Caenorhabditis elegans: one gene and its partner. The protein of the gene in region 2 interacts with the protein of the main gene of each other region in a pairwise test. Each region holds a gene or a part of one and is shown on either strand. Other genes may lie near its edges. The genes, in order: erm-1 and act-5.

Evidence for each region.
Region 1: the proteins of act-5 (region 2) and erm-1 interact in a two-hybrid assay, tested with the Caenorhabditis elegans proteins (one study listed by BioGRID).

What each region holds. Positions count from the first base shown.
Region 1 is NC_003279.8:5,284,638-5,292,522, reverse strand, and holds the start of erm-1 (Moesin/ezrin/radixin homolog 1), read left to right. Parts: upstream 1-1,828; 5' UTR 1,829-1,887; coding exon 1,888-1,905; intron 1,906-2,004; coding exon 2,005-2,088; intron 2,089-2,329; coding exon 2,330-2,530; intron 2,531-4,204; coding exon 4,205-4,359; intron 4,360-4,681; coding exon 4,682-4,841; intron 4,842-4,889; coding exon 4,890-5,072; intron 5,073-5,811; coding exon 5,812-5,991; intron 5,992-6,073; coding exon 6,074-6,421; intron 6,422-6,954; coding exon 6,955-7,060; intron 7,061-7,137; coding exon 7,138-7,304; intron 7,305-7,832; coding exon 7,833-7,885.
Region 2 is NC_003281.10:13,603,833-13,607,820, reverse strand, and holds act-5 (Actin), read left to right. Parts: upstream 1-1,754; coding exon 1,755-2,255; intron 2,256-2,590; coding exon 2,591-3,057; intron 3,058-3,107; coding exon 3,108-3,267; 3' UTR 3,268-3,409; downstream 3,410-3,988.

The DNA of each region.
Region 1 (7,885 bases), on a different chromosome or scaffold from region 2:
GTATCCAGCTGAAAATTTAAGCCAGTTTGTGTGCTTTATTGGCTTTTTCCATCAAATTTTTTGTTGTCATGTTATCTCAACATTTTTCAAAATTAGTGTTAAAATATCGAAAAATTACTTGATTCGTCTGAAAATAAACTTCAATTTAGCTAAAACATTTAAGAAAGCTTTTAAAAATGGCCTGAAAATTGCCAGTATCCGATTATCGAATTATCAGATTTTTTGTCTAACAATTTGCAACTTTCCCACCGATTTTGAGCATTTCTTCAAATGTTTCAGCTAAAAATATGTTTCATTTCCAGATAAATCGAGTGATTTTCGATATTTTGACACTAATTTTTAGTGAAAAACGTTGGAACAACATAGCCCAATAATTTTGTAGAATTGCCGGAAATAATAGCCCTGTACCTGTAAATCAAAATCAATATTCCCACCTGTGACACATATTTTTCTGAATAATTTTTTGATTCATGAAACTTTTTCTTTAAAATAATTAAAGCATTAAAAAAAACTCAAACTCGCCAAAACTCCCAAGAAACTGTCCAGGCACCCGAGAATCGCGCCAACGCCCTGCTGGCGCGATTCTCGTGCAGTGGCAAATCGCAGAACGCGCCAAAAACGGATCCGAACGGGTTTGAATCAGACGATGACTCATTTTTTATTGTTTTTCGAGTTTTATTGATTTTTTTTAATCGCCAAATGTATAAATCCCCCTAAAATATACACAATTTTCCATGTGTCACTTTGAATTTTCGGATAAATGATTGAAAAATTAGATTTCTCTATTCAAAATTTAAAATTCATAACCTTGAACTCATTTGTTTCGTTTTCTTCGCTCCGTTTTCTGATTTCTCATGAATTTTTGAAATCTCTGTTCATTCGAATTCTATTTTCACATCTTATTTTACTTTCTTGCAGAAAAAAGTGACGAAGATTTTCGGTGGAAAAGTTTCGTGAATTCTCACCGCTCACCCCAATCCATCTTCGACTCGGACATCAAAAAGAGCTAAAATAATGTCGAAAAAAGCGGTAAGTTTGAAAAATGTAGCTTCAAATAATTTAAAACTTTTACGGCCAAATAAAAAAAAACACTGTTTAAATTTGCGATTTTCTTATTTCTTTCGGAAAAAATGCCGCCATTAATTAAAAACAAATGGAAAAAATTTGAAACTGTGAAATGTTGAATATTTCGGAAATTATGTTCTGTTCAGCACGACTTCTGCCGATTTTTTTAAAAAATAAGAATCTATCGATCTAAAAATATACTCTGTATTTTATTTTTCACTTATAAGACTATAAAGAGGCATATTTCTGCAAAATGGACTCATTTTTGAGGTTTTGTTGAAATTTTCGAAAATAGAGGGTTTCAATACCATTTTGCATAAATGCGCCTCTTTTTAAACATATAAGTGGGAAATAAAATACAAAACATATATTTTTTACAAAATTAATTTAAAAAATTTTAGAAAACAATTCAGATTTTTACGCTTACGAAGTAGAGCCGCGAACAATTTTGAACTCGAAATAAACTCAAAATTGATGATATTTGAAATATCATTTCATTCTTTTTTTTTCTGCCGAAACTTCTATGAAGAAATGCGCACATGTATGTGTGCAAACCGACAAATAGGCGGAGCCTGTACAAAAACGGGCGGTCTATAGTTCTTCTCACTCCGTTTTTGTGCTGTATACAGGGAGAGAGAGTGACAACTCATATCATTTAGTTTTAGATAAGAATTTTAAATTCTCAAGTTTCACTCTTTTTTTTATTTTGAATTTCTGATTTTCATGCAAGATTTCTTATATCATTTTACTGAAAAATTTTAAGCTAACCTCTTCATATCAATTGGTCCAGCAGTTCAAACTTGTGGAACACAAAATAGAAAAATGGTTGCGGCCGGCGATGTAAATTGTTAATTGAAAAAATTTTTTTTAGAAATTTAAGAAAAAATATAACGAAAAATCGATTTTATTTTTGCCTAATCCAACTATTTCTTGTTTCAGATCAATGTGCGTGTCACCTCGATGGACTCGGAGCTCGAGTTCGCTATTCAGTCGAGCACCACAGGAAAGCAACTTTTTGATCAGGTTAGATGATTTTGTTTTATTATATTTAAAAAGTACTTTTTTTATTAAATTGGAGAATGGATAAATTTTAATAATTCAAAAAAAAAATCAGAATTTTCTGAAACATTAAATTTTCACTAACCATTAGAAATTTTAAATCAAAACGATTTAAATTTGAAAAAAATAATCCAAAATTTCCAGCTCTTGAAATTGAGTTTCGAATTTTCCAGCAATATTAATTCCTTCATTTTAATTTTTGCAGGTTGTCAAAACCATTGGTCTCCGCGAGATCTGGTATTTTGGACTTCAGTACACTGACAACAAGGGATTCCCAACATGGCTGAAATTGAACAAGAAAGTCTTGTCTCAGGACGTTAAGAAGGACCCGACTCTTGTTTTCAAATTCCGCGCCAAATTCTATCCGGAAGATGTGGCCGAGGAGATTATCCAGGATGTCACTATGGTATGTTTGACACCTTTTTTTAAATATTTAATTTTTTGGAAAAAAAAAACTGTAAATTTTCCATTACCTCTGGCCAATATTTGATTTTTAGTTGTAATTCTCACTTTTCGCTTTTCTGACATTCTCTGGCGACTCTCTTGATTTCCTGTGCTATTTCTGATTTGTAACTGATAAGTAGAGAATGCCCGTGCCATTTATGCATGTAATGCAATGTTGGCAAGCAATAGGAAATAACTTTGGAGTATATTCAAGAATAGAAAAAAAGGGGAAAATTTTGGTAAGGAATACATTTCTGTGGTTTTAGAGTACCTTCTTACAAGCTGGCCTGCTTAAAAAGACCCCAAAACGACCAAATTTCAAAATGAAATTTCTCAAAAAATGCCCGAAAATGAATTAAAGCAGTGAAAATTCTGAAAAAAATCCGATATTTTTTCTGTTAAAAAAATCCGATATTTTTGCTAAAATTAGAATAAAGTTTTTTATGCCAGTGATAATTCAATAAAATGGCATTCCGATTTAGGAAAATTTGGCTCTTTTTTGAGAATTTTGGCTCGCTATAAAGAATTTTTGAATTTTTTAAACCAGTTTTATTTGAGCAAAAAAAACTCTTCTGCTCAAAAATTTCCACGGCTCATGTGCTCACAAGGTCCTCAATAAACTGCCTAAAAACAAAATATTTTGATGGTGACAAGTGTAAACATGGGCATTTTCTCCCTTCCGTTTCAAAAAAAGGTTCTCCCATTGAGAGTGTGGTTTCCGATTACCTCCGAGCCACTTTTTTGTCTCACACAAAAAGAGATTGTTTAATGGTTTGTAAACATCGATGGGAAGACACTGTGTGTGCGAGACTCTTTTTTTGAGAGGAGAAATGAGCATCCTATTAGAACCTCCGACTGCGAACAGGAAATCTCTGATCTGGGTGGTCTGTTTTGTTTGAATAGGATCACAAGATCAGTTGAAGATTTCAGTAGAATAGCTATTTAGTACCTATATGCAAATTGATTTAGTACCTATATGCAAATTTAGATCAGTTGTTAAAATTAATGTAAAAATTTCTTTTTTTTTTAAATATAGAAAAATACTTTTATTTCTATGAAAATAACATTTTTCAGTTGAAACATTTGAGAAAATGCACAAAAATGGTCTGAAAGTTTCTAATTCACAAAAAAACCTTTTTTGAGCACTTTCTCAAATGATTCAAAAATATAAATATCACTTCCGGTTAAGTAAATTGATTTTTTCTCTTTTTTTTAGATTTCCAATAATATTTCGCATTTGAATTTGAATAGATAGACTGACTTAAATTCTGTTCCGATGACTCATATCAATGGAAACAATGAAAAAACTCTCAGTTTGTTGCTGTCTCTTTGCTCTTTTTATATTCATGTTCATAACTGACATAAAGAGGAAGAGGAGAATGGCATGTGTGAATAATCAAAAAATGATTCAAAACGATAAATATGAGGGGAAGAGAATATAAATTGAACTTTTTGCAAAATTTGCAGAATTTTTTGTTTGGAAGAGGGAACAATTGGGTTTCAGAATCATTAGTTGAAAATGGAGTATGGTTTTTTAAAATGTCAGAAAACAATCTCAATGTACAGAACATACAGTTAAAAAATTATGAAGTTTTTTAACTGAAATTAAGCCTTAATTAAATGAAAATATTTTCAGCGTTTGTTCTATCTCCAAGTGAAAGATGGAATTCTGTCAGATGAGATTTATTGTCCACCGGAAACCTCTGTTCTTCTTGCCTCTTACGCGATGCAAGCTAAATATGGAGACTATGTTCCAGAGACACATGTCGCCGGATGTCTTACTGCTGATCGGTGAGTTTTTCTTGAAATTAGCTTTTAAAAAAATTATTAATAACTATTAAAAAATATCTTTGCGGTTCAAAATTCCAATCAAGATTACTAAAATAAGAAAAATAATAATTTTCTGCGATAATTCATTTTTAATTATGTAGTGAAATTTCACAGTATCACAGTACTCATACAATTCATAATTATCACATGAAAATGAGATTAGAATAAAGAAGGGAAAGTTCCAGATCTAGATGATCAATAAAAAAGTATATAATAAGAAGTAGTTAAAAAAAAGTAAACTTTTTATATTAAATGCCAAAAATAATTAATTATTTCATTCCAGTCTGCTTCCTCAACGCGTTCTCGGACAATTCAAATTGAACAGTGAGGAATGGGAACGCCGTATTATGACATGGTGGGCAGATCATCGTGCAACTACACGTGAACAAGCTATGCTTGAATATTTGAAAATTGCACAAGATCTCGAGATGTATGGAGTCAATGTACTGTTTCTCATTTTTCTGTCGAGTTTTAAAAAAAGCTAATTTCAGTACTTTGAAATCCGCAACAAAAAGGGAACTGATCTCTATCTTGGTGTCGATGCTCTTGGATTGAATATTTACGATAAAGCTGATCGTCTTTCGCCGAAAGTCGGATTCCCATGGTCGGAGATTCGTAATATATCATTCAACGACAAGAAATTTGTCATCAAACCAATTGATAAGAAGGCTCATGTAAGTGATTACTGTCACACACAGTTTGTCGTGGCATCAAGCTTCTATTTGTTGGCAAAATTTCTGCGGAAAAAACGGAAAAATTGTGTGATAGTAGTTGGAAGTGGTGGTGATAAGAAGCAATCGATGGAACATTGAATTTTGATTTAAAATTTTTTTGTTGGTTTTTCTTATTTTTGGGGTGTGAAAATATCACAATCATTGACCAGATGCGGAATGTTGCGATTTTGAGGCAAAAGTATGGTGCCCGGTCTCGGTCTCGACACGACCGAATAAATTTATTTACCAAAATGGTGTGCACCTTTAAAAAGTAGAGTAGCTCCAGGCCTTTCTGATTTCCAACTTCGTTAGATTTTTCTAGTTTATTAATTAATAAAAATTAGTTTCACTAACAAAAGTAAAATAAAAGGTTTTTACAATAAAAATATTTAGAAAAAATCTATGAAAATTTCAAATCAGCTCAACGGTAACTACTGTACTTTTTAAATGCGCACATCCTTTTTCATTTAAATTTATTCGATCGCCTCGATATCGAGTAATGTGTTTTTGTATCAAAAATCGCAAATTTCGAGATGGATGGAACATTTTGTGGAAATTGAGTTTGTTGTAATTTTTCTGAACATTTTTTCCCCGATTTTTTGATTTTAGAAAAATCGAAAAAAAATTCTTATTTTCGCTGAAAAAAAAATCGAAAAAATGTTTTTCATTATTCGTCTTCATTTTTATCATTAATTTTCAGGACTTTGTCTTCTACGCTCCACGACTCCGTATCAACAAACGTATTCTTGCTTTGTGTATGGGAAATCACGAGCTTTACATGCGTAGAAGAAAGCCAGATACCATTGAAGTTCAACAAATGAAGCAACAAGCCAGAGAGGATCGTGCTCTTAAGATTGCCGAGCAGGAGAAGCTCACCAGAGTAAGTTGCGGAAATTTTTGAAACATGTTTTTACAAATAATTTCTAAAAAAACTTTCACTCAAATCTGTTTTGATCGTACAGGAGATGTCTGCTCGCGAAGAAGCCGAACAGCGTCAACGTGACGCCGAAAAGCGTATGGCTCAAATGCAGGAAGATATGGAGAGAGCTCGTCTTGAATTGGCTGAAGCACACAATACAATTCACTCATTGGAGGCTCAACTCAAGCAATTGCAATTGGCTAAACAAGCATTGGAACAGAAGGAATACGAACTTCGTGAGCTCACTGCTCAACTTCAATCCGAAAAAGCAATGAGTGATGGTGAGAGACGTCATTTGAGAGACCAAGTTGATGCTCGTGAACGTGAAGTTTTTTCGATGAGAGAAGAAGTCGAGAGACAGACTACTGTTACAAGACAACTTCAGACACAGGTATTTTTTATTTTTGAAACTAAAATAGAAACAAAAAATTCTCTTTAAAAAAATTATTTTAAATACCGTATTAACAATTATCGAGCAGTAATTTTCAGTCTGAAATTACTGTTTTAAAATTTTAAAATGAAAAAAAGTATGCAGTAATTCCTGAAATTAGTTGATTACTGTAACAAAAAAGCTTAATTTAAAAAAAAAATTTGCAACAATAAAAGAGATACAAAAAGAAAAAACTAAAAAAAATTGTGAAAGAATAAAAAATCCGATCTTTAAAAGCGAGATTTTTTAATTGTACGCAGTGATGTTGCAACAAAAATTTCGGCCAAAAAACAAACAAATTTTGTTTAAAATTTCTCCAAAAAACCAACAAAAAAAAACAAAAATGTTCATTTTTCGTCATACCAACTAAAACATAAAATTTTTGATAAACATTTTTTTAAATGTTTTCTTGTCCGAAAAAACCAAAAAAAACGGAATCCCTGATTGTAACTCTGGATTTATTTTATTTCAAAATTATTTTTTCTTAAATTCAGATTCACTCGCAACAACACACTCAACACTACTCAAACAGTCATCACGTTTCCAATGGACACGCTCACGATGAGACTGCCACTGATGATGAAGATAATGGAGCAACTGGTATGCCTTTTTTATTTATTTAAAATAATTGGGAGAGATTATGAGAAAAAATATCATCTTCAAATTTTATCTTCCAGAACTCACAAATGACGCTGATCAGAATGTGCCACAACACGAGTTGGAGCGTGTCACAGCAGCCGAGAAGAACATTCAGATCAAGAATAAGCTGGATATGTTGACTCGCGAGCTTGACAGTGTTAAAGATCAGAACGCTGTCACTGACTACGACGTTCTGCATATGGAGGTTCGTATTTTAAAAAAACTCGTTTTAATGGATGGTTTTAGAGAATTTAGCATTCAAAATTTACAGTAATTTTCTAGAACCTGCATTTTTTTCATAAATTCAAGTTTTAAAAAATATTTCCGGACTGCGATCAAAATACAATTTTTTAAAAATTAAATTTGGAAAAAAACAGAAGAACGCAAAAATCTTTAAAAAATATCGAGTTCCGGATTATTTTAAAATAAAAAAAATCATTAAAAATCATTAAAAAGCCATTAAAAACAAATTTTGCTTAAAAATAATTTTATGATATTAAAATTGTTTGAAGTACAGAAATTGAGTTTTTTCGGTGTTTTCTGTTTGCAGACAAACCGAAAACATTTCTGAAAACATTCCAAACTCGGTATTTCCTTTACGGAAACAAGCAACATAAATTTTACTTATTTTTGAACAAGTTTGACCCTAAATTTTTTAGATTTTTTGAGCGAAACCGAAATATCGAAAAACCGAAAAACCTGCCGGCCCGATTCCAAATTTTTAAATTTTCAGAACAAAAAGGCCGGACGCGACAAGTACAAGACTCTCCGTCAAATCCGTGGAGG
Region 2 (3,988 bases):
GTATGATTATAAGATTTAAAGATGGAGTACCGAAATCTGAGACTTTGCTTTTTTTAGATCCGAAGTGACCCAAAACTACCAAATTTCGTAATGAGAAGTTTTGAAAATTTCACAAAAACAATTCGTTGATGCAAGTACATTTTCGGTCAGTGGGGCACAAAAATGTAACTTTTCTTTGAAAACTAAAAACGTTTAAGAAATGAAAAGTGTTACCAGTTGACAACTTTTGTTATTTTTAACTAGTGTAGAGTTACTGTAGTTTGAATAGTGCTACCTGGAACAAAACATTGAACTCCGATACCTCGTCCGACAAGTGATACATATTAGAATATTGCCAAAACAGTTTTTAGATTATCTTTTTTTTGTTCAACTGACAGTTATTTCTTGGTAATGAAGATTTTTCAGTAATTTAGATTATCATGTAATGATGTTATAATGTAGTTAGAAGATTTATAGTAAATGCACAAACATATAGTTTAACCACCTATAAGCCTCTACAGCCGAAAAGTTAAAATATACTATCCAACACATGAATCTACATAAATTTTGTTATTTAGTTTACAACTTTTTTCTTTTCCTTTTTGTTGCCATGTTACATACATTCCCAGGAAGCTGCCGGCTGCTATTTTCACGTTTTTCAGATTGTCGATATCTCAATTATTCCATTTCTAATTGCTTTTTTCAAAATAATAATTAAACTATTAATTTCTTCCACACTTCGACCGATTTCTCATCTTTCCTCTTTGTTATCAGTGATAAGCAGAATAGGGTAGTAGTAACTTTTACGGGTATTTTGGGATTATACGGAAAGGGTAATGTAATGAAACTTTGAATCTTCGGCACTTTCAAGATTAGCTGCACCCTAACATTAAAAAAATATAGTTTATGATCCTAAATTTCTATTGTATTTCTAACTAGCATTGACTCATTACTTATCAGTGACTCATTTTCCCAGTATGGCTTCTTTAAGAGGAATGGTAGGCGGAAACTTCAATTTTAGGGAGTATTTAAAAGTTGGAGTCAATTGGAATGTTATCACTTTATTTTTTCTAGTTTTACATTCCTAGCGCTCCAGTGACTGGCGGTAGTTGATTTTTATCTCTTGGGGGTTTTTTATCTTAGGAGGTCATGTAAAGTTGTCAACTGACAATGTATAACATTTTTTTGAAATGCTTTGTTAGTGGACCAGCCGGCTTGAGCTACTGGAAAGTTCGGGGAGCCCGGATGTAAGCCTGTTGGCCTGCATTTTCAAAAATTTCGTAGGTTTATTCCATATTTGTTATACTGATTTGAGCAATTTTATAAAATCGGCCATAGCTAACAGCCTCCCAGTGCATATCATGTCAATTGACAATTTCATGTTCTAGAATTGAGCACAAATTCTGACAGGCTGCTTACATCATGCTCACCAAACTATGACTTTGTCTGTGTGACGTGATAATTTGTGTGTGTGTGTGTGTGTGAGTGTGTACATATAACCACCACGTACCTGCAATTCTTAGAACGAAGTGAGAGAGGGAGTTATCAGTATCAAACGCACACACATATATACATACAGAATGTGGCATATTCTCTCCATTCTCTCTTTTTCTCGTTTTCCCCCCGATGGTGAGCTGGCTGCGGTACTGATAACACACTTTGCATTTTTGGGGAAATGTGGCAACATTTTCATTTTTCGGCATTTTATAGTACTCGTACATCACTTAATAACGTTTTCTATAAACTCGACTTCTTCAACCTTTTATTAATTTCAGATGGAAGAAGAAATCGCCGCCCTCGTTGTCGACAATGGATCCGGAATGTGCAAGGCCGGATTCGCCGGAGACGATGCTCCACGCGCCGTCTTCCCGTCCATCGTCGGACGCCCACGTCATCAGGGAGTGATGGTCGGTATGGGACAGAAGGACTCGTATGTCGGAGATGAAGCACAATCCAAGAGAGGAATCCTCACCTTGAAGTACCCAATCGAGCACGGAATCGTCACCAACTGGGATGATATGGAGAAAATCTGGCATCACACATTCTACAACGAGCTTCGTATCGCCCCAGAGGAACACCCAGTTCTCCTTACCGAGGCTCCATTGAACCCAAAGAGCAACAGAGAAAAGATGACACAGATCATGTTTGAGACCTTCAACACTCCAGCCATGTACGTCAACATTCAGGCTGTGCTTTCCTTGTACGCTTCCGGAAGAACCACCGGAATCGTTTTGGACACCGGAGATGGTGTCACTCACACCGTTCCAATCTATGAAGTAGGTAGATGGGTTTAGAGAATATAAGAAGACAGCAATCTTCTTTGACTTGGCGGTGTAAAGTTTTGGAGATTACGTCTGCTTCGACTAATTTTTGCAGCCAGAAACAGGCTCACAGCGCTTTCGGAAACTTTTAGTTCAGCTCAGCAGCTCTTATCCTTAGTTTTAAGTTTTTGGAACTGTAAGAACTTAGTAAGAGCAAGGCCACCTCATTTCTCTGCAAATCATAGCCTGAGCTTCTGATCTTCTTATCTGATCCACAATCTTCTTGTGAGAATTCTTTGGGATCTAAGAAATCTAGAACCTACATCCGATCTTATCTTCTAATCTTCCAGGGATATGCCCTCCCACATGCCATCCAACGTCTCGATCTTGCCGGACGCGACTTGACCGACTACATGATGAAGATCCTCACCGAGCGCGGTTACACTTTTACCACCACCGCCGAACGCGAAATCGTCCGGGACATCAAAGAGAAGCTTTGCTACGTCGCCCACGACTTCGAGTCCGAGCTCGCCGCCGCCGCCTCCTCCTCCTCCCTCGAGAAGAGCTACGAGCTTCCCGACGGACAGGTTATCACCATCGGAAACGAGAGATTCCGCTGCCCAGAAGTCCTCTTCCAGCCTGCCTTCATCGGAATGGAAGGTGCCGGAATCCACGAGACCACCTACCAATCCATCATGAAGTGCGATGTCGACATCAGAAAGGATCTCTACGCCAACACTGTTCTCTCCGGAGGTACCTCCATGTTCCCAGGAATCGCTGATCGTATGCAAAAGGAGATTCAACATTTGGCTCCAAGGTAAGCTTCACATTTCTCAGTACATGAGATTATAATTCTTGTATTTTCAGCACAATGAAGATCAAGATTATTGCTCCACCAGAGCGCAAGTACTCCGTCTGGATCGGAGGATCTATTCTTGCTTCCCTCTCAACCTTCCAGCAAATGTGGATCTCCAAGCAGGAGTACGACGAGTCCGGCCCATCGATTGTTCACCGAAAGTGCTTCTAAGCTGATTTTTTTTCAAATTTTTTTTTTCAACATGTGCCTTCCATTTCTAGGCGAAACACGATTTTACTTGACACAAATTCCATGAGATACTTCATTTTCTTTATATTTATGGTTTCTTAACATGAATAAACTTGTTAGGACCACTTGCTACTTGGGAATTGAGTAAAATTGATGGTACTTGTGTATTATTTCCCCTCATTTTTTAAAATATAATTTTAAATAAAAACGTGTGGAGTTTTTGTTTTTTAGGCTTAGGAAATAATCATTTCTAAGCCTAAAGATGGAAAATGGACATCACGTTTTATTAAAATGGATAATATTAAAATGAGGGGAAATAATGCACAAGTACCAAATTGATTTTACTTAGAAATTAAGAAAAAAAAACAAACAAATAAGTTAACCTAAACCGGATCTGCCGTTCGGCAACTCCGGTACCATCCGGTTCCCGTTTTTTTCGGTGATACAGAGCTTTCTTGATACTTTTTTGACAACTTCCATAATTTTTATCTTGTTGCAATAACTGGGAAAAAGAAATTTTAAAAAGTGAACTGAAAAATGACTCTTGAGAAAAAATGATCGTACGGTCTTATAGTTTTACTGTAAAACATTTTTGATAGTTTGCAACATCCATTTTGATTTCTTATGGAAAATCGGTTCTTTTTGCTATAGAGAGCATGCAATTCTTCAAATAAAGTTGTCTCTAACTACAAGAAACCACCTT